5 linked regions of the Coturnix japonica genome follow. The protein of the gene in region 2 purifies or fractionates together with the protein of the main gene of each other region. This does not show direct contact. Links are inferred from orthologs where the notes say so. Each region holds a gene or a part of one and is shown on either strand. Other genes may lie near its edges.

Evidence for each region. The genes of interacting proteins can lie anywhere in the genome.
Region 1: the proteins of EFTUD2 (region 2) and PRPF3 purify together in Homo sapiens (affinity purification with mass spectrometry; 3 studies listed by BioGRID and IntAct, with this or other methods). This does not show direct contact. The link is inferred for Coturnix japonica from reciprocal best matches to the Homo sapiens genes EFTUD2 and PRPF3.
Region 3: the proteins of EFTUD2 (region 2) and PHB purify together in Homo sapiens (affinity purification with mass spectrometry; 3 studies listed by BioGRID, with this or other methods). This does not show direct contact. The link is inferred for Coturnix japonica from reciprocal best matches to the Homo sapiens genes EFTUD2 and PHB1.
Region 4: the proteins of EFTUD2 (region 2) and EAPP purify together in Homo sapiens (affinity purification with mass spectrometry; 4 studies listed by BioGRID and IntAct, counting the BioPlex papers as one, with this or other methods). This does not show direct contact. The link is inferred for Coturnix japonica from reciprocal best matches to the Homo sapiens genes EFTUD2 and EAPP.
Region 5: the proteins of EFTUD2 (region 2) and EEF1A1 fractionate together in Homo sapiens (co-fractionation; 4 studies listed by BioGRID, with this or other methods). This does not show direct contact. The link is inferred for Coturnix japonica from reciprocal best matches to the Homo sapiens genes EFTUD2 and EEF1A1.

Annotation. Positions count from the first base shown.
Region 1 is NC_029540.1:1,894,025-1,897,977, reverse strand, and holds the start of PRPF3 (U4/U6 small nuclear ribonucleoprotein Prp3), read left to right. Parts: upstream 1-1,153; 5' UTR 1,154-1,280; intron 1,281-3,953. Other genes in the region: MRPS21 (28S ribosomal protein S21, mitochondrial), read left to right, coding at 670-850. UniProt on the Homo sapiens protein: Plays a role in pre-mRNA splicing as component of the U4/U6-U5 tri-snRNP complex that is involved in spliceosome assembly, and as component of the precatalytic spliceosome (spliceosome B complex).
Region 2 is NC_029542.1:776,150-780,339, forward strand, and holds the start of EFTUD2 (116 kDa U5 small nuclear ribonucleoprotein component), read right to left. Parts: upstream 2,801-4,190; 5' UTR 2,663-2,800; intron 2,189-2,662; 5' UTR 2,188-2,188; coding exon 2,083-2,187; intron 1,840-2,082; coding exon 1,674-1,839; intron 1,512-1,673; coding exon 1,433-1,511; intron 223-1,432; coding exon 147-222; intron 1-146. Other genes in the region: CCDC103 (coiled-coil domain-containing protein 103), read left to right, coding at 3,230-3,372. UniProt on the Homo sapiens protein: Required for pre-mRNA splicing as component of the spliceosome, including pre-catalytic, catalytic and post-catalytic spliceosomal complexes. Component of the U5 snRNP and the U4/U6-U5 tri-snRNP complex, a building block of the spliceosome.
Region 3 is NC_029542.1:2,952,415-2,956,591, reverse strand, and holds the start of PHB (prohibitin), read right to left. Parts: upstream 2,801-4,177; 5' UTR 2,701-2,800; exon of another isoform or gene 2,595-2,700; intron 2,244-2,594; 5' UTR 2,206-2,243; coding exon 2,118-2,205; intron 1,743-2,117; coding exon 1,581-1,742; intron 1,097-1,580; coding exon 954-1,096; intron 796-953; exon of another isoform or gene 684-795; coding exon 567-683; exon of another isoform or gene 540-566; intron 208-539; coding exon 112-207; intron 1-111. Other genes in the region: ATP-dependent RNA helicase DHX8, read left to right, coding at 3,747-3,858.
Region 4 is NC_029520.1:32,516,431-32,520,680, forward strand, and holds the start of EAPP (E2F-associated phosphoprotein), read right to left. Parts: upstream 2,801-4,250; 5' UTR 2,741-2,800; coding exon 2,667-2,740; intron 1,736-2,666; coding exon 1,554-1,735; intron 745-1,553; coding exon 646-744; intron 291-645; coding exon 167-290; intron 1-166. UniProt on the Homo sapiens protein: May play an important role in the fine-tuning of both major E2F1 activities, the regulation of the cell-cycle and the induction of apoptosis. Promotes S-phase entry, and inhibits p14(ARP) expression.
Region 5 is NC_029518.1:74,352,704-74,356,895, reverse strand, and holds the start of EEF1A1 (elongation factor 1-alpha 1), read right to left. Parts: upstream 2,801-4,192; 5' UTR 2,672-2,800; intron 1,927-2,671; 5' UTR 1,880-1,926; coding exon 1,736-1,879; intron 721-1,735; coding exon 541-720; intron 412-540; coding exon 115-411; intron 1-114. UniProt on the Homo sapiens protein: Translation elongation factor that catalyzes the GTP-dependent binding of aminoacyl-tRNA (aa-tRNA) to the A-site of ribosomes during the elongation phase of protein synthesis.

The DNA.
Region 1 (3,953 bases), on a different chromosome or scaffold from region 2:
CGTAGCGCCGGGTGCAAGGGGGATAGCTCCACCAAACATGCACACCGACTTGTAAAATCATGACACAGATCTAGGTACACTTAATACATAGTCAATGATTTCTGATACATATTCAATGATTTCTTAGACTTCTAATACATTGTCAATAGTTCTAGGAATTCTGATACATATTCAATAGCTCTTTAGCATGCAGACCCCCTCTTGTTCTTATCAGGGGGAATGCAACTCCTCATCCGTGAGGTCTCACTCCTTATCTGCATCCTCCCTGCTCTCCCATAGAATCACAGAATGACCGGGGTTGGAAGGGACCTCAAGGATCATGTAGTTCCAACCCCCCTGCCTGGCAGGGCCACNCAAGGATCATGTAGTTCCAACCCCCCTGCCTGGCAGGGCCACCAAACATACACCTTTACTAGATCAGGTTGCCCAGGAGACCCCATAGATCCCCATAGAGACCCCATAGATCAGGTTGCCCAGGGCCCCATCCAACCTGGCCTTGAACACCTCCAAGGACGGGGCATCCACAACCTCCCTGGGCAGCCTGTTCCAGGCTCCCAGGCCCCTTGTTTCTTTTACTTGTTACCTTTAAGTTTCTTTTACTTCTTTCTCTAAACTACCTTTAAGTTTCCTGCTTCACTCTTCAATGTGACTCATGTTCTCCCCCCACAGGATCCTGTCTCAGGATGGCATCGTTGAGTCAGTGAAGCAGGGCCGGTACTACGAGAAGCCGTGTCGCAAGAGGCAGCGCTTGGCTTATGAAGCGTGCAGGCGTGTGTACAACACTGAGATGGCCCGCAAGATCTCCTTCCTCGCCCGCAAGAGTCGCATGGACCCATGGCTGGGCTGCTAACGGGGTTACAGCCGTCTGTCCTCATGGCCGTCTGTCCTTTGGGTGCTGCTGCTGTTAATAAATGCTGTGTGCAGCGCTCTGCTTCGGCCACGCTCGGGTGTTGCGGTTGGGGGTGGGGGGAGAAGCGCTGGGTTTTGGGTTCTGGGTGGCGTTAATGGGCCGGGCTGGTTCCGCTCGCCCCCACGTGGTTATTTCCCGCCACGCGGGGCGCGCCTTTTCCACCGGTTTCCCGCGCTCTCGTGTCACGTGAGCAAAGCGCGCGGCTTCACTTCCTTCCTTCCATTCTTTCCCGGCAGCCCTCAGGCGGGCGGGACGCGCATGCGCAAAAAGATCCCCGCAGCCATTTCCGCTTCCGCCCCGACGTGCCGTCGCCGTCAGGCCCGTTGTCGCCGTCCGGGCCCGGGGCCTGCGGGGGCCGCGCCCCGCCGCGGTGAGAGGCCGCGGGGAGGAGGGGAGGGAGCGGCTGAGGGGAACGGGGGGGGGAAGGACCGTGAAGGAGCGGATCTGAGGGGACTCGGGGCCCGGCCGTGACGCGGGGTTGCGGGGCGAGGCCAGGCCCCTCCGCTTGGGCCCAACGGGAGCGTTGAGTTGATGCGCTTAAACCCGGGGCTGAGGTTGGGGCTGAGGTTCGGGGTTGGGGTTCAATTAACTCATAACGTTAATTAGAGCCGCTAATTGAAGAGGATCCCTTCAGGAGTTGTGGGAGCTGCCGGGGAACCGAAGGGCTGCGGTTGTTGTGGTCTCAGCATCACGTTAACCGTGTTTTGGGAAGCACCGGAGGGATGTTGACAATAGAAGGACACGGGGAAATAGTTTGGAGTTAAAAGAGGGAAGATTTAGGTTGGATGTTGGGGGAAGTTCTTCACTAGGAGAGTGGTGAGGCCCTGGAACAGGCTGCACAGGGAGGTTGTGGATGCCCCGTCCTTGGAGGTGTTCAAGGCCAGGTTGGACGGGGCCATGGGCAACCTGATCTGTGGGGTCTCTATGGGGATCTATAGGGTCTCTGGGGTCTTTATGGGGATCTATGGGGTCTCTATGGGGTCCATAGGGTCTCTGTGGGGTCTCTATGGGGGATCTATGGGGTCTCTGGGGTTTCTATGGGGATCTATGGGGTCTCTGTGGGGATCTATGGAGTCTCCTGGGCAACCTGATCTAGTAACTGTGTGTGTATGGTGGCCCTGCCAGGTAGGGGGTTGGAACTACATGATCCTTGAGGTCCCTTCCAACCCAGGTCATTCTGTGATTCTGTGGGGTTTATGGAGTCTCTATGGGGATCTATTGGGATCTATGGGGTCTTTGGGGTCTCTGTGGGGTTATTGGGGGTTATATGAGGTTATATGGGGTTATGGGGTCTCTATGGGGTTATGGGGTGGATATGGGGCCTCTATGGGGTTAATGGGGTCTATTGTGGGTTGGAACTACATGATCCTTGAGGTCCCTTCCAACCTGGGTCATTCTGTGATTCTATGGAGGGATGAGGGTCAGTGGGTGCCTCCATGTGGGTGTTACCTGCCCGTTTTCTGCTCCTCTTACGCCCTCAAAGTCCCATAGAGCTCCCAGCACCGACGGCTGTAGGAGCGGCCCAATGATACTGATATGGGGGGGGGAGGGAAATACTATTGGAGCGGCTGCTCTTCTTTCTCCGTCCTCGTTAATTGCAGAAGTTGAAGAGGAACGTGAAGTTTAAGCCAAGTGTGAATTAATCCTGTTTAGCCTTTCTGAGCAAGCATGCAGAAAGCTGTAACGCATCAGCAGTGCTGATATGGCATAGTAATCAGTTATCTTGATGCATCTTGACGCTCAATTAACCTCACCTTGAAGTATTACCTGCTTCCAAGCCTGGACTTAATGATGAATTACTGTAATGATGCCCCTTTGGGCTGTATCTGATGCTCCTTTTTAATGTATCTCATTGAAACCTGCTGTAAAAGAATACAGGGCTGCAAGCTGTGTCCAGCCTTCTCCCTATGGATCATTAGGAGCTTCCCAGCTGATGCTTCAGCCCCTTTGCTGCTCTTTCAGATCCTTCTCTTGGCTGTTTTTCAGTCTCTAACTTGAGAAGCTCTTTGTTACCACATCCAGGATCTTTGCTCTCAGCTTTAGTGATGATAAGTGTATTTTGGATGCTGTTTGCTCTCATTTTAAGGTAAAGGCTCCACAAGGTTTCTCCCATGGGCATGAAATGTTGAGGTCAAACATATTTCCTTAAGAAGATTTTCTCCTGTTTCCAGATAAAGGAGACTTGGTTTCCAAATCAGATTAGTGCCTGGCTACGTAATTAAACATTATTGCATCCGCTTCATTGCAGCTTGTGTTAAAGAACTGCTAACGATTAACGGTGGGAAATTATTGTCTTGAGTCTGATTTGGAATTGGATTCAGTAGGAGCCAACAGGGCAGCAGTGCTGATCTGCTGCTTCATTTAAGCAGCAAACACAAAGGTAGTCAGGCATGTGCTGATTGTTAAGTATCAGTAAACCTAAATGAGATTGAGTTCCCCCTGGTCATTATAAGGGAGGCAGCCTAGAGCTGGGAGTGTGCTCGGAGTTGTATGGGAACCTTATGGGAATGGGAAGAACTCGAGGTGATCCAAGTGTGTGTGAGATGTTGCTGTATGTGTTTAAGGTGTTGTTGTACATGAAAAGCTTCTACTTGTGCTCCTGGAAGTGGTTTGTGGGGCATCTCTAAGTGGGCTGGCGTGAGTGTAGCTGACAGCTGATTCAGGCTGTGTTAGCAGGAGAAACCACGGGCTGAAGCAACACCAAGACCAAGCTTTTCTCCTCCTGTGTGTGAGAATCTTAGAATTATAGGTTGGATGTTAGGGGGAAGTTCTTCACTAGGAGAGTGGTTAGGCCCTGGAACAGGCTGCCTAGGGAGGTTGTGGATGCCCCGTCCTTGGAGGTGTTCAAGGCCAGGTTGGACGGGGCCCTGGGCAACCTGATCTGTGGGGTCTCGATGTGGATCTGTGGGGTCTCCTGGGCAACCTGATCTAGTAAATGTGGATGTTTGGTGGCCCTGCCAGGCAGGGGATTGGAACTACATGATCCTTGAGGTCCCTTCCAACCCGGGTCATTCTGTGATTCTGTAATCTGTGTGTGGAAGTG
Region 2 (4,190 bases):
GGAGAGAAAAGCCAGGAATAACTGCAGAGCAACAGGAGCAGGAGAGAAGGCTGCTGCAGGGATTGGGGGGTCAAAAGAGCAGCAGTCAAAGTAAGGAACAGGGAGATCGTTACTGCTACCCAACGCACGTGGGATATTCACACTACCTTGCCGTGGTGAAGGTGCCCACACAGAGTCACATTCCGAATCAGCTCGGAGTTGTCCATCAGATCTGCCAGGAAACTGGAGGGATGAAGCACAAAAGACTGTTGGAGGCTTCTGCTGTGTCTAAGAAAAGTAGGCGCCGCTTTGCACCCAAGGGCCCCTCTGAATCCTCTCCAAACTTTCATGCCCTGCGGAGGAAGAATCCCACTCTGCAGATGGGGAGGACAAGAGAGTTGGAGTCCTGGACAGATGGCAGTGGGTGGGAGGAGACGGAGTTGGTAAAACTGCAAGAGATTAAATACTCCGAACGCCTTTCTTCTCTTCTAGACAGTATTAGAGCAACTCGGAGGAGGAAACGCTTCCGCTCCAATGGTGGCAGGTAGTCAACCAAACCACAGAGGTGGATAACAACACCCCACACACTTTTAAAAGGTAACCACAGGGTTCCACAGACTATTAATTCTAACTTGCAGGTCTTAATTCTGGTTTTCAGGTCTTAAAACACTGATGTTCCCAGGGACCCAAGGAACAGTCATAGAACTTAAATGGTTTTTAATCACCAACGAGATGGGACTGATGGGCTGGTCACTTCTGCAGAGATCCCAGCCAAAATGGAACTGAGAGCCTAAATTAGCAGCTACTCTTCAAAATAATGGGAAGCTATCAGCCAAGGATCGATTATTATGGATCTGCGGATAGTAAGTCCGGTCAAATAATCTCCTTCTTCAAAAACACTTTAATTTTCACTTATGAAGCAGGCTTTTTAGCATACAACATTTTGATTAAGAGCTTAAAAAACACAGAAATCGATAGGAATACAAATTAAATGCTTGCCTATTGGTCTTAAACCAAGGCTAAATGTGAAATCAATAGCGAGCTTGCAGGTTTCTGGTTAAGTCCCACTGGGACTTCTGCGTGGTCCCATCCAAACCATTGACATCAAGGAAGAGCAGGAGTTAGAATTAATTACTGATGGAGTAAACAGAGGACAAAGGGATCAGAAAAATAATAGGAAATGCACCGTGTTGCCTACGAGGATGGCAAAATAGCTGTAAAATAGCTGGCCTTGTGCTTTTCTTCCTCTTCTTTTTGGTTCAGACTCAGGGAGCCAGCTGTACTTGCTTATATTGCTGCTGTTAGTAAGAACAAACCCAGTGCCCCCCTGTAAGCTCCCGCCTCCATATAGATCACCCCTCTGCCTCCCCACCCTGCCTGTAAGCAATGAGAAGTGAGGAAATTGCAGCACAGATGGCCTGAAACAAAGCTTCAAACTCTGCACATCACTTACTCCATCTCATAGACAGTGACTGGTAACGTCTGTTCCATCAAAGAGAACTTCTTGGTTTTCACAGGTTTAATAATAGGCTCTGAAAACAAAAGAAAGAACAATAAAACACTGTTATGGGTGACCTGAACCCAGCACCTCCAAACATCGAATGGGGATTTTCCGCAGACAAAAAACACAGCTTTGAATTGACAGATTCTCTTCCTATGGGGGGACCAAATGAGATGATTTAAACCCCACTCACCAGTGAGAGGCTGCGTGTCCTCCTCCTGCACTATGGTCTCCACTTCAGGCCCATAGACCTCCTCAGCAGTGGGGTAATACTTCTTGTCCTCATGCAGCACCACCTCCATCCCAGGGTGGTCCTCATCGTGGTCCCCCATATCATCATCATCGTCGTCATCCTCGAGCTGCAACCAACACTCACACTGAGCTGCTGCCAGCACCAAAGTGTTTCATAAGCCTGAACTGTGGCTGGAGGTAAATCTTGGTGTCACACATCAGGAGGAACAGGGAACTGACAGCACAAAGGGCACGCTCCATCCTGCAGAGCCTTCCCTGCAATGGGAGCCAGGCACGGGGCAGGACATGCTTAACACCTGCTGTGTGTGGCTGCACAGCACAGAACAGCCCTGCCACAGCCACGCACTCACCTCATCCAGGTCCTTGGACTCCCGGCCCAACTCATCATCCTCGTCATCAGAGTCCAGCTCTGGCCCGATGTAGTTCCCAAACTCATCATACAGGTCAGTATCCATGCTGGGGGTGAAGAGATGGGGTCAGAGCCGGGAGAACCCCTGGAACTACAACCCAGCCTCAATCCCAGCCCCAGAACCTGACCAAGATCCAGATCCAGCCTCAGTCCCAGAGCCCAAACCGGCCCCATATCCAGAATGGGTCCCACATCCAGAACCTGCCTCACAGCCAGACCCGGCCCCACGGACAGACCCGGCCCCACGGACAGACCCGGCCCCACGGACAGAACCGGCCCCACGGACAGAACCGGCCCCACGGACAGAACCGGTCTCAATACCAGAACATGCCTCACAGAACCTGTCCCCGGTCCTAAGCCCTAAGCCCCAAGGCCCAGGCCCCGGCTCCAGCCCTTAGCCCTGATTTCTTGGCCTCACCCCCTATTCCCTCCCCTTACCCCATACCCCATACCCCATACCCCATACCCCATACCCCATACCCCTGCCCCATATCCCGCCCCACACCCCCCCACTCACTCACCCTCACGTTCCCCGCTCACTCTCCGCCGTTGGCGCCGCCGACAGCGCAGCGGAAGGACCCGGGCTGCCCATGGCGCCTGTCCCGGGCGGTTCGACAGCGGCGCTGCTGCCGGCGCGGTTCAGTCAGGCGCGCCGCGGGCAGCCTCGTTGGGTCCTGAAGGCGGCCCTGTCTCCATGACAACGGGAGTAGCGGGCGCGGCGGGCGGAGCTGGGCCCTGTCGCGATAGGAATTGAGGCTGCCGGGTCAGCGGGGCTCGTGGGCGGGGCCTGTCGCGATAGGAATGAGGGTGAGCGGCCCAGTGAGGGACCCAGCGGGGGATATCGCGACAGGAATCCCTCGGGGTGCTGTGTGTCGGCATGGCGGCCTATCGCGACATGAGGGGTCGGCTGCGAGCCATTATGGCAGCAGGGCCCACGCTGCCGCTGAGGTGATACCTCAGTGGGTATCGCTGTCACAACAGGAGCCTTATCCTTATCCGTATCCTTATCCGTATCCTTATCCTTATCCTTATCCTTATCCGTATCCCCACAGCTTGTCGCGCTCCTGTCGTGACTGTCGCGACAGCCGATGGACGCGGGCGGAGCTGTGGACATGGCGGCGCTGCGGGAGGAGCTGCGGGCCGCGCTGGAGGCCGACGAGAGGCACGAGAGGGAGAATAACGCCAAGCTCCGCGCCGTGAGGCAGCGCCTGGGGTCGTACCAGGAGTTCAGGTGGGAGCGGAGCCCCCCAGGTCTGTCAGACGCTGGGCCTTCCCGCAGGGCTCCTCCTGCTCTGCTGCTGGGCCTCCCCGGGGCAGGAGCCATCGCCTGCCCTGCCTTGGATGTCCCAGGGCTCCTGAATGGCAGCAGGAAGATCCTTGAGGGCAGGTGGTGCGGGACGCCCCCAGTGTCCTCCACCTCAGCCCCATCCCCTCACATCCACAGAGAGATCTGTAGATACATCCAGGACTTGACCAACACATGGCAGGCTCATCCCATGCTGGAGCATGTAGTGCTGGAAGCCTCATTCTGCCTTAATGTGGTCGTGCTGTCAGCTCTGAGTAAAGGGAAACCTTTAAAATGGCATTTATGGCATTGCTTGTCCGTGTAAAAGGACTCTGTGCCGCAGTTCTGTTGTTAGAATATGATCAAAAAACACATTCCTGCTCAGTACACAAGTACTCAGTACTCAAGCCTGCAATGTGGTGTGATATCAGCAGCCAGGAGCCATCCACAGGAGAGCAGAACAGCTTCTCTCCGTGGGTGCAGTTTCCCCACTCACGAGGGCCAGCAGAGCCCTGACCCCATTGGAAGATCTCGTTACTGGGAGGACTAACGAGCGACAGGCACAGACGTTCATCCCACGGGATGAGAAGAATGACATGAGCTGCTGAGTCCAGGCTGCTGCAATTAGTTACAGACGTCGGTGTAATGGGATGGCTGAGTAAGAAGGCCTATAAGAATGGAAGAGTTCTCCTGTGGAAGCCCCAAAGATATAAAATCTTACTTGTACCCCAGGAAAAACGCAGGAGAAAGAGGAGTCCTGCCAG
Region 3 (4,177 bases), about 2.2 Mb from region 2:
ATATACCTGCCTGGTTTCCTGGGCAGGTGACTAAAGTATTCACTGTGAGAAGAAATGACTGAGATACCAGGAACTACTTCCAAGCTAAAGTTTCTCAAAAGAATAAAGTACCTTTTCCACAATGAACCTGGCTCGCTCTGCTTCTTGCTGGGCCACTTGCTTCATTTCAACTGCTTCGGTGAATTCCTTACCAAAGGTCAGATGGGTCTGCAAGGCAGAAATCACAGTCCACAACAGCATTTACAGCAACACTGCTACCAACAGCACATGTCTAAGGCAGGAGGCGTTTTGCCTTTATCAGAGAAGATGGAAAGTCAGTATCGCTAAAAAAAAGAATGCAGTGTAACAGAAACTAAACCTAGCAAGCTTTCCATCCTTTTAAAAAACAAAGTCTATAGGTGGCCAGTGACACAACCAACTACTTTGACTTGAGCTGTAACCACTGCATCATGTGCAACTGCAAACAAACAGGGTCCACATACACAAGCTTTCACACCTCTTCTCCGATCCTCTACCAATTTTCTTCCCTATTTGCACAGGGAGAAAAACTGAAAGGGAACTCTTACCAAGGACACATCATCCAGAATGAGGCCAAAAGTTGCTGCTCTCTCTGTGAGGTCTTCGCTCACTTGCCTGGAGACCAGTTCTCTTTGAGTGATCAATTCTCCAGCATCAAAGCGAGCCTGAAGTCAGGATGGACAACAGTGAGAAGAAAGCTCTCAGATGCTCTACTTGTCACCCAACTTGATGAAAATAAAGCCAAGTAGTTAAAACGACAGAGAAGCAATCAGCATAGATACAGTTTTAACTCTTCTGTATTGCACATTAGAGCCAAGGGGTATAAAGAGAAGCCTCATTTTAGAGCTTCACATTTTCCACAATTCAGCACGTCTCATTAGTGCTAAAACAAAAGAGAAGCGACAGGTTGACCCCAGCATTTGTGCTGTTCTTACCACAACAGATTTGAGGATTTCAGTTGTGATGGAGGGCAGGACACGCTCATCATAGTCCTCCCCAATACTTGTGAAGATCCGGGGTAGCTGCGCAGTCACGGGTCTGAACAGGATACGCAGCGTGATGTTCACATTCTGTAGATCTGCAGAAACAGGCACAAATTTAGCATTAAACCTTATGGGCAGGAGATATACTGAAGCTGTCCCCTCCAGAGGAAAGCAAAATAAGACAAACATTCAGACTTCTAACAAAGGAAAGGTTTGTAGTATTTCATTAACCAAGGACTATATTTCACATAGGGATCCAAATCCTCCTTACAGATTAAACTGAAGCTTCAGTTTGTCTGTAATGCAGGGAATTACCCTACAGTAAACACAGACTTTTTATTTAAAGGATAAGTATCAAACTATTCCTGACTGCTAAACTCTACACTCATAGAATCTCCATGTTCAGAGATAAAACCCTCATTCCTATAGTCCTCTAGCACGTTAATGATCATAAGTGTCTTCAAAAAGCTTTTTCTCATGCCTCTGCCCACCCAGCTCCAAAGCAGCAGAAGAGTGAGACACACACAGTGCACATCAGAGTGCCTGGATCTTATAGAGCTGCCCAGTCCCAAACCTCACCTTTGCTGCCAGTAATGACAGGTATGTTACGTGGGCGAGAACGGCAATCAAAAATGATCGGTTTCTGTACCCAGGGGATGAGGAAATGAGTTCCTTCTCCTACCACCGTATCCTGGACTCCACGGAATCGATCAAAGATAACAGCTCTGTGTCCTGCATCAACTGGAAAAGAAAACAACATAGATTCAGTAGCATCATGAGTTATATCTGCACAGCAGCAAAACTTCCATAGGGACAGTCTATGGAGGTTAGTTAAGGCTTTTTGCTATGTAAAAATGGCAAAGCTATTAATATTCTTAGGAATAACAAATCAAAAGAGAATACTCATCCATTACCACTGAGCCCTCAGCCTGCTCACAAGAGAGTTGTGTTGAAAAAGCCTGAATTCCTCCTACTTATGCAATGCACAAGGTACAAAACAGCCCTGAAAGAGGCTTTATCACTGTCTTCCCCAGATACCACAAGCAATAAAAGCACAGAGCAGCCAGATAATAAGGACATAAAGAGAACTGGAAACACTCAGCCTGTCCCACTCACCATTATATAGAGCAGAATTGACGACTCCACCTGCAACAGCCAACCCCAGGCCGAACTTCCCAATGCTCTCAAACACTTTGGCAGCCATTTCTCACGTGCTGTTCTAACCCCTTTATGATGAACCTCCTGCAAAAAAAAAATCCCATAACTTCGGTAAAACTATAGGAAACGAGAAAACCAGGCAGCCCTAGTGTGTACCTAGAGCTGGGATGGAACCCCAATCCAAAAAGCCCACCATGAAATGGGATCATTCATTATAATAGCAATTTCTTTGCCCCTCAGCAGCCATACAGGCCTCTCCACTCCCCCCCCCCTTATCACCTTGGACTCTGAACCCAAGACCCCACATCCCCCCCTTCCCCCCCCCCAAAACCCCTCGAGGAACCCCACACCTCGAACCCCCTTTAATTCCCCATTCTCCCCCCCTCCCTCCTCCCACCCACGTTTCCCGAGGCCTCTGACTCTCAGGACACAGACCTGGCGGGTGAAGGCCTCGTTCGTACCCTCAGCCCCCAGCTCAGCTCCAATACCCCAAGACCCTCCGCCCCCTCCCACCCCACTCTCCTCCCGCAGCTCCCCTGACCTCCACATGAATCCTCGGCCTCCCACCCTACCGCGCATGCGTGCAACCTCAACACGCCCTCTCCCTATTGGCCCGCGCTTTCCACGAGGCATTCTGGGACTTGTAGTTCTTCGTTGTTATTGTAGTTACAGGGTAGGACACAACTCCCAGCGAGCTTCGCGGCGGTACCACATGCTGAGCAAGGCTGCTTCCTATTGGTTGTTTAGCTCGCTGATAGCAATGAGCCTCTGGGCCTGCAACCCCAGAGCCGGGCAGGCCCAGGCAGAGGAAGGAGCTTAATGCTTAACACAGACCATTGACATTGAGGCGCAGTGCTATTTTATTTAGCTCTTAGCTTTAGCTGACATGGCTCCTTGTGCTGTACACAGGCGGTGCTTTGCTCTGCTTGTTGTGGTCTGTGGTCCTCACCATTGCTGCATGTACTGAATAGCCTATAGATGCAAAGGGAAATTACTTTGGCTTCTAAACAGATGGATCTCAGCTCTTTGAGGCAGCTCCTTACCGTGAAGCGATTGGGCAGCCTGGCACTTGGGTTGGACGCTTGATGACTCGGGCAGCAGCAACGATACGGCTGAGGCTCTATAATAGGAACAAGGTAGAGCTGAGTAGAGCCCAGCCCGGCTCTCAGCCCTTCCTTTAACCCCAGGGCCGCTTTCTGCTCACCGGGAGGCAATGCCTGCGTCGGGCTGTTATCAATACCGTGCCTCGTATCCATTCTAGAGCAGCCCGCGGACTGCAAAGTACATATGGGGCTATAAGAGCCGCCCTAGCTCCGTTCCCCAGCCCTTCCCTCGCTCTACACACACCCGTATTAACGCGGCCCTGCGCCGCTCCAGCGCGGCCTGCCTTCGCCTCGCCTCCCAGTGCAAGGCCGACATGGCGGCGGCAAGCGTCGCCTAGCAACGGCCACTTCCGGCACCCCCCAGCGCTGATTGGATCCGGACAGAGCCGCTCTAGCTCTCTATCCTCTCTATGATCAGCTTGACTTCCGGTGCTTCCCGGATGCGGAAGTGGCTCCTGGTGTGTGGGGTGGGGGTGGGGGAAAGATGGCGGACCTGGCGGCTTTAGAGGAGCTCGCCAAGCTCGAGTATTTATCGCTGGTCTCTAAGGTCTGCACCGAGCTTGACAACCACCTGGGTATCAACGATAAGGATCTGGGTGAGTGAGGTGGGGTGATAGCTGTGGGGAGGTTGTAACCGGGCCTGACGGCCATGATGCCTTCAACGAAAGGCCTTTGGAATTGAGAAGAATAAAATATATCTCTAAAAGAAATATTATAAAACGTTTAGATGTGAGCGCCTAGAAGGGGATGCTGCTGTTCTGTAGGTAGATGGATCGATCTGGGTGCTGCCCTTGAACACCTTGGAGGTGTTCGAGACCAGGTTGGACAGGGCCCTGGGCAACCTGATCTATGGGATCTATGGGGTCTCTGTGGGGATCTATGGGGTCCATGGGGTCTCTATGGGGATCTATGGGG
Region 4 (4,250 bases), on a different chromosome or scaffold from region 2:
TTCCATATATGCAACAATTTTACAAGTTTTTAAATTCCCTGTGCTGTAAATTCTAAGGCACTAAGTGAACACAACAGCAAAGGGTTTTTCTATATATTCACCATGTTCACAGGAATTTTGCAGTTTATCGTAAGCATCCTACCTCCTATTATTTACAGTCTCTTACCTCCTCCTCTGTGAGTCTACCCACTCTTGGTCTCGACTGTCTTCTTCCGGGTCATACAGCAGCTCATCATTGGTAGGAATCCGACGTTGCTGATGCTTTCTTTTTTTCAGGACATCTTGCATAACTGTAGAGATTTGGGCATGCACAGGTTCCATCAGACAGACATACAATGATTCTCTACTCAACTAATCAAAAAATAATCTTTCCAATTTTCATTTTCAATACCTGCAATAAATGTAAATTAATTCATAAATATCTAGCTTTTCTCTCCTCTGTATAGACCACCCCAAAGTTTTAAAACACCTTACATACATTAGGATACATCACAAAGTTGCTAGAACTTTGCTGAAATGATACAGGCTGGTAACTGCCCCCAAAAGTCCCTCTTCAGCAATAGCCTCTGATGCCCTGAGAGGATTCTACTGTATCTGAGATACAGCACTAATATGAAGATGCTGCCTTCTCCCTCAGACCCTTACCAGTTTTGTCTTCATCTTCTGAATCAGAATCAAAGTAAATGTCATCATAGTATTTTGAAGTGGTGGCAGATCCAGCCTCTCCAGCGCTTGAAGAAGTACCTGCATTAAATTGAAGAGGGAAGTGGTAAGAACATCTCACCAAAAGGATAACATGCATATAGCCCAGTACAAACCATCATTTCCAAGCTGCCCTACTCAAGAGCCCCCCAGTACATCTGTGTGTATTAAGCTGCAGCTCTCCCAGTTTGTTCCCATGTCCCAATCAACTATGTTACTTGTGTGATTTCATTTACAGGTAAAAGAAATACAAGTTCTTCAAATGCCAGAGCAATCTACAGCACCCAAAACAGCATACGAAGTCCAGAATGGATAAATCCTTTACACAGTTTCACTACTTCATGTAACTTATAGTTATGAGCACTTAGGGGATTAATATTTTTCTTGACTCTTTTCCCCGCCTGATTTGCAATCTTAACCCACCACATGCCATTACTTTCAGCAAGAACGTGCTCCAAATGTTGATAGTGTCCTGAGCCATTGGACAAAGAGACTGCAAACTGCGTGAATGGCTTCCAAATACACACGTGAAAATCACTTACAACATAAGTTACAGAGACACCGGGGAAAAAAGAGGGCTGATCATTCAACAAGAAATCAAAGAGAAACAGGAAATTAGAGGTTCAGAAACAACATAACCAAAAAACTTAGAATGGATGAAACAAGTGCTCTCAAGGTACCCAAGTACCCATTTCTGCAGGACGGAAGAGCCATTTTAAGACTTCTCCACAGGTCTCAGCACCTCACTGCTACCACAAATCCCCCCTCAGTTGTAAGAACACTTCAACTCCTTAATTGGACACCGCTTAACCCTCAGTTTAACAGGCAAGCAGGTGTTAAGAATGATTTACCCATTTCTGGTGATTTCCACGTGCCTTCTATGTTCCTCACGGTGGTGTCGAGCTCTGCCTCCATCTCCTTCTGGAACTCATCATCGCTGGAAGATTCACTCTCCCCAGTCAGGCACTCCCGTAACAGCTTCCGCTTCTGGTCAGGAGTGCCGTGTAAGAGCACATCCACCTCATCTTCAGAGCTACAAACATTGAAACATCACACGCCTAATTATTACCAACAGCTCGCTACACAAGCTAATCAACAATCACCACCTGAGCTGTGTGGAAATACCGAGAAGCACTTATCTGTGTACTTATGTGAAACCCACTGGTTTTAATGCAAAGGAGCAGCGCACACACACACACACACAATCACACAGAATGACCCGGGTTGGAAGGGACCTCAAGGATCATGTAGTTCCAACCCCCCTGCCTGGCAGGGCCACCAAACACACACCTTTACTAGATCAGGTTGCCCAGGGCCCCGTCCAACCTGGTCTTGAACACCTCCAAGGACAGGGCATCAACAACCTCCCTGGGCAGCCTGTTCCAGGGCCTAACCACTCTCCTAGTGAAGAACTTCCCCCTAACATCCAACTTAAATCTTCCCTCTTTTAACTTAAAACCATTTCCCCTAGTCCTGCTATTATCAGCCCTTTAGAAGAGTTTACTCCCCTCCTGGGAGTAAGTTCCCTTCAGGTATTGAAAGGCTGCAATGAGGTCACCCCACAACCTTCTCTTCTCCAGGCTGAACAAGCCCAGCTCCCTCAGCCTGTCCTCATAGGGGAGGTGCTCCAGCCCCCTGATCATCTTCCTGTTCCTCCTCTGGACCCTTTCCAAAATCTCCAATCTTTTTTGTACTGAGGGCTCCACACCTGGACACAGTACTCCAGATGGGGCCTCACAAGAGCAGAGTAGAGAGGGACAATCACCTCCCTATCCCTGCTGACCACCCCTCTCCTGATGGAGCCCAGGATCCCATTTGCCTTCCGGGCTGCCAGAGCGCACTCGTAGCAGACAGACCCTTCCCACCATCAGCGGCCTCCTCCGTGACCGGCAGCACGAGGCAGACCAAACCCTGCAGCAGAGGGAAGCGGCGGCCCCCAGCCCGCCCCGGGAGCCGGCCGGCACCTGCTGAGCGCTCGCTCCTCGTCGCTGGGCTCCTCCACCACGTACGGATCATCCTCCTCCCGCAGGCGGCTCATGGCCGCTCAGCTCCCGGCACTTCTTCCGGCGGAAGCAGCACGGCGCAGGCCCAACTCCGCCCCCCGGAAGGGGACACGTTCCCCCCCCGACCGAGCACCGCCCCGCTGTGATGCCCCGAGCAGGGATCGGGCTGAAGGTTGAAGAGACAGACCCAATACCAAGAGGATTGAAAAAATTTAATGAGCTACTAACACTGAACAACGAGGACTAGTCTAAAAACTGTTTCCCACAGTCCTACTTAAAATATTTACAATTGTGGTAACTGTATATACATTGTAGTCTTTGTCCCTTATAGTCTATTTATAGATGAGTTCCTTAGGAATTACACCTTTGTATTTGGAAGATGAACAGCACAGTATTAGTGTGGTTGCCATTAATAGAAAATAGTATATACACGATGTGAGTTGCTAATAGCCACTGGGCACCAATAACCAGAAGTCTGAGGCTGTGCCTATGCAACTCAATGCAAAGAGCATGTGAAGCTGAGGAACCCCTGTCTTAGAAGCATTCCATGTGCAGTGCTGTGCTTTACTACACTGTGCAATTCACCCTATTGGAAAATAAACCTAGCCCTCCATGCAGCAGTACTGGAGAGTGTAATTACAGAGACTGACACTGACATTGGTCAGCATCTCCAATCAAAAAATGCCATTCACTGGAATTCTGCTGCTCTGCTGAAGGGCTACAAACCCATACAAAGCAGCAATCCCCCTGTGATGAATGATTAATCAAGTAAAGCCTAGTTTTACAACATTCTGAGATTATACAAGAGAACAGCAGCTCTTGGAAAGGACGTGCGGTTCAAGGGAGAGACAGAAAGCATTCAACAAACAAGAGACTGTGGATTCAAACAACAAAAGGTGTCCTGAGCTCTAAATCCAGTTAGCAGAAGGAGACACAGTTCAGGCATTCCTTTACTGGGTATGCCTTTACTACTTGTTTTCTGAAGCAAAGCTTCTCTTTTGTATAGAAGTGGGGCAGTATTACCTTTTTCTACTGAACACCCTTCTGCCAGTTTACTTTCCCCTTCTGGAAAGAAACCAGCTACTTCCCTTAAAAAACATTTCCACCAAAGAAAATGACAAGTCAGCCACTAAGGTGAAAACTATGCTGGATAGGAAAGTCACAAACAGAGGCAAATGGATAAACCTGAGAATGCAAGTGAAAAATTACCAGGCTAGTACTTCATGTTAAACCAATCTGGTACCTGTTTTACAGGATGAACAGAGAAAAATCTACTTTATCTGATTTACTAGAAAATATTAAGCTTATAGATGATACAATGTCTGCATAATTTTAGAAAAATCATTGATTTCATGGTTTATTTTACAATAATTGGATTAGTCTACAAGTTAAGGCAAACATACTAATGTATTTGCTTTTCCTTTTAAATCATAGTTATAAAGGTTACACAAAGTTCTTCAAAACTTCTAAGAAATGTTCACAATTGAAAAAAAAAGATTAAGTTTCTTGATATCAGTAAATGGAAAAAAACTAAGACAGTGTGTA
Region 5 (4,192 bases), on a different chromosome or scaffold from region 2:
AAAATACTACTACTGAAAAAACCCAAACCCACGTATTTAACTATTGTTTAACTTATCTTAATGATCCTGCTAGTTCCATTTCCTAATATTAAAAAGGAAAACAGGGAAACCTACGTTAGAGCTGGGCTCCAGCATGTTGTCCCCGTTCCAACCAGAGATTGGCACAAAAGCTACAGTGTCTGGGTTGTAGCCAATTTTCTTGATGTAAGTGCTGACTTCCTTGACGATCTCTTCGTATCTCTTCTGGCTGTAAGCGGGCTCAGTGGAATCCATCTTGTTAACACCAACGATCAGCTGTTTCACACCCAGGGTGTAGGCCAGAAGAGCGTGCTCGCGGGTCTGCCCGTTCTTGGAAATACCGGCCTCGAACTCACCAACACCAGCAGCAACAATCAGGACAGCACAATCAGCCTTTGAAAAGGTAGAAAAAAGCCCTTGTTAGAAAGCCTACACGCACACTAAAGCACATGGGCAATTTCCCTGCTGTAAACCAGCCAAGGAGCAGCTTCCCTCAACTCCCCACATCCTTTATTTCCTTACCTGAGAAGTTCCAGTGATCATGTTCTTAATGAAGTCTCTGTGTCCAGGAGCGTCGATGATGGTGACGTAGTACTTGCTTGTTTCAAATTTCCACAGGGAAATATCAATAGTGATACCACGCTCACGCTCAGCCTTGAGCTTGTCCAAGACCCAGGCGTATTTGAAGGAACCTTTGCCCATCTATGGGTTTGAAACAGGAAAAAAAAACCCCTCAAGATATATATTTTCATTTACCTCACCAAGACCATGAAATACACACTAACGAGCAAAGTTATTAATAGGGAGTGACTTACACTGAAAGCTGCTGTTGCTCATAAAACTCTGGCCTAGGTTCACTTGGCACTACTACCAAGATATGCCAACTGCTCTGTCATTTAACCTGCTGACACTTCAGCCCTCTTGACAACTTGTTAATTGTGCTAACACATCTTTATGATGGATCTCTTAAGGCTTAGTCCTACTATCAAGTGTCCACTACAAATTTTAGCTTAGTTACTAATGCCATCCCTGCTCCAGTTGGTATTTTAACAGCCACACAGCCCAGCATTCACTGCATTTCCTTTTATCATGTGCTTACGAGGTGCTATTTTATCACTAAAACAAAACAAAGGAAAACTGGAATACTTCCACAGGTTCACATAATGGTACCTTAGACTCTCCCACCTTGAGACAAGGCTGATCATTACATTTTCAACTAAACTACAAGATGACATGAGACAACAGTCTAAAGCTGTGCCAGGGGAGGTCCAGATTGGATATTAGGAGTAATTCCTACTCCATAAGAGCAGCAATGCATTGAAACAGGCTGTGCACAGAGATGGTGGAGTCACTACCCTTGAAGTGTCCAAGAAACCTGCTGACGTGGCACTGAGGGACATGGTTAGTGGCCATGGTGGGGATGGGCTGATAGTTGGAGTTTCAAGGTCTTCTCCAACATTAACGATTCTGTAATTCTCAATCCAGGCCGAGAATGAAGATGGGAGCTCCCATTTTGATTCTAAGCGTTCAGATTTAGCTTCATGCTCTTTATTCTATGCTTCGATGACTTCACCTTAACATAACAGATTGAGTACTCTAGTTCAATTACCAGGACAATCTCGACCCAACCGCCTCCTTGTGGTAGTAAAACGTTCTGGTTTCCTTCCTTTTGCCCCTTATTCCCCCCAGTCTCCCACCACACGGCTGCCTCACACACCTCGGCCGCCTCCTTCTCGAACTTCTCGATGGTCCTCTTGTCGATGCCACCACATTTGTAGATGAGGTGCCCGGTGGTGGTGGACTTGCCGGAATCGACGTGGCCGATGACGACGATGTTAATGTGAGTCTTCTCCTTTCCCATTTCGGATGGTCTTTAGCTTCTTTCTTCCGGCCAAAGAGAAACGACACCTGAAAGTTCCAGAAGGAATCCCGGTTACAGCGGCCGCCCCCGTCCCGCAGCAGCGCCGCCCGCAGGGGGCAGAGGGCCCGTGTAGGCTCGGCCCCGCCCCACCGGGGGATGGGAGGGGGGAGTCGAGCAGCGGGGAGAGGCGGGCGGTGTTGGCGGCCCGTGTCCCCTCCGGCTCGCCCCCCTCCTCCGTCGCCCCCTCCCCGCATGGCGGCCGGGCCGGGCCGTGCTGGGGCGGCGGCGCGGGGCGGCGCGGAGGGCGGGGCCGCCCCTCTCCTTTGTGTGTGACTCACCCCGCCCGGGCCGCCGTCCTCCATTTTGTGAGCTGACGGCGGCAGGAAGAGCGGGCGGCCATTTTTTTTCTCGTGCCCCGGCCTTCCCTTCCCCCATCGCCCACACCGACGGCGCGGCCCCGCCATCCCCGGCCGCCACCCGCGTACGGCCGAGCACCGCACGCCGCACAGCAGCGCCAGGCGGCTCCGCAAGAAGCCGAAGCGGCGGTGCGGCCCCATGTGCTCATCGCGGCGCTGCCTCGCGTGAGCCCTCGGATGGGACACGTCGGCGTTACGCCGCCGCTCGCCCCGCTTCCCCCATCCGCCCCTTATCTCGCCATCCCCCCGCTCCGCCATCCCCACGCACCGCTGCACGGCGGCGCCTCAACCCCCCGCTCACGGTACATCCACGCACCCCCAGCATCCCCGCTCCCCCCACCCCCGGGCCCGGCCCGCCCCGCCGCACGCTCCTCACCCGCACGGCGTCGGCAAACCCGGAGCGGAAAAGAACGACGGCGTGAGCGCCGCCCCTTATATACCCTGCCACGGGGCGGGGCCTCGGCGCCGCGTCACGGCTCCCGGCGGGCCCAGCGCTAAGCCCCGCGCTAAGCCCCGCCCGGCAGCGCCGCACGCCGTGCTCCCCTGGGGGCGGCGGGGAGGGGCGGGGTGCGGATCCCAGCCCCGGGGGAGCCGGGCCGAGTGGCGGCCGGTCGGGACTCGCTGCCCCAATGCTGAACGGCATCGCCTGGAGCGCGGCCAGCCGGGATGGAGGTGCCGCTCCGCCGCCTCCCCCTCGGCACGGCAGCCATAGAGTCGCCGAGCTCCGCCTCAGGCCCGAGACTGCGGCCCGAGGGGACGCGGACAGCGAGCTGCGGGGTGGGAACTTGCAGACTAGCAGAGATCCCCGGTGGCCTCGCGTTTCACACAGGGCCAAGGAGATTCGCTTCAGCATCAATTCGGGGCTTCTGCTTGAGAGCTCCAAACTGCCCCGAGTGCCCCCATGCCGTACATTCCCGGCTGACAGGTGCCCCATGAGAGTCACCAAAGGTGCTGGCAGCCCCAGCCTTTGGCTTCTGAAACGGGGGCACCAGCACTGAAAGCCCTCGTGATTCCAGCAGGGTGTACTCGTGTAAAACACCTGTATGGCTTTCTAGTGGGAAATTAACCCCAGAAGGGAAACAAATACTTTATTCCTTTAATCACAGAACGACCTGGTTTGGAAGGGACCTCAAGGATCACCCCCTGCCTGGCAGGGCCACCAAACATACACATTTACTAGATCAGGTTGCCCAGGGCCCCATCCATCCTGGCCTTGAACACCTCCAAGGACGGGGCATCCACAACCTCCCTGGGCAGTCTGGGTTAAAAGGATCTGTTTTCTTCTTCTAAGAGAATGTAATGCACCCATGTTACAGTTACTTACGTGTACTCAACTGTAATCCCATTCAATTGTTGGCAGGGGCTCCACAGAACATGCTGAGTTGGAAGGCAGCCCCAGGGATCACCGCGTCCCACTCCTGGCTCCACACGTCTGAGAGCAGCATCCAAATGCTCCTTGAACTCCAGCACCGCGGGCCATACCCACCAATATATAACTATAGCTCACATCTAGGTGTTAAATCACTGAAGGCATTTGCTATGAAGGCAGAGTACCAGCATCTTCATTAAGTGACTTTTCATGGCTCAGGCTGAGGAGTAAGGGTCAATAACTAGTAAGAAAGCTGAGCACACCACATCTGTAAAACCAAGGCTGTAAACATGTCCACGAAGCTTTATTCTACAGGATGGTTTCTAGTTTAGCTTCTGCAATGCCTGTCAGTGGGGGTGTTTTTAGATGGATAAGTTTGTCCAAGTATCTGTTCTGCTAAAGCATAGTTGAAAACATTCAGCCACTTGCACCTCAGCAGGGGGAGGAGAAAGGAAATGTGTTACTGATTTCTTACGCGGCCCATAAGAAACTGCACAGTTATGGGATGTATTTAAAAGGCTTCCATAA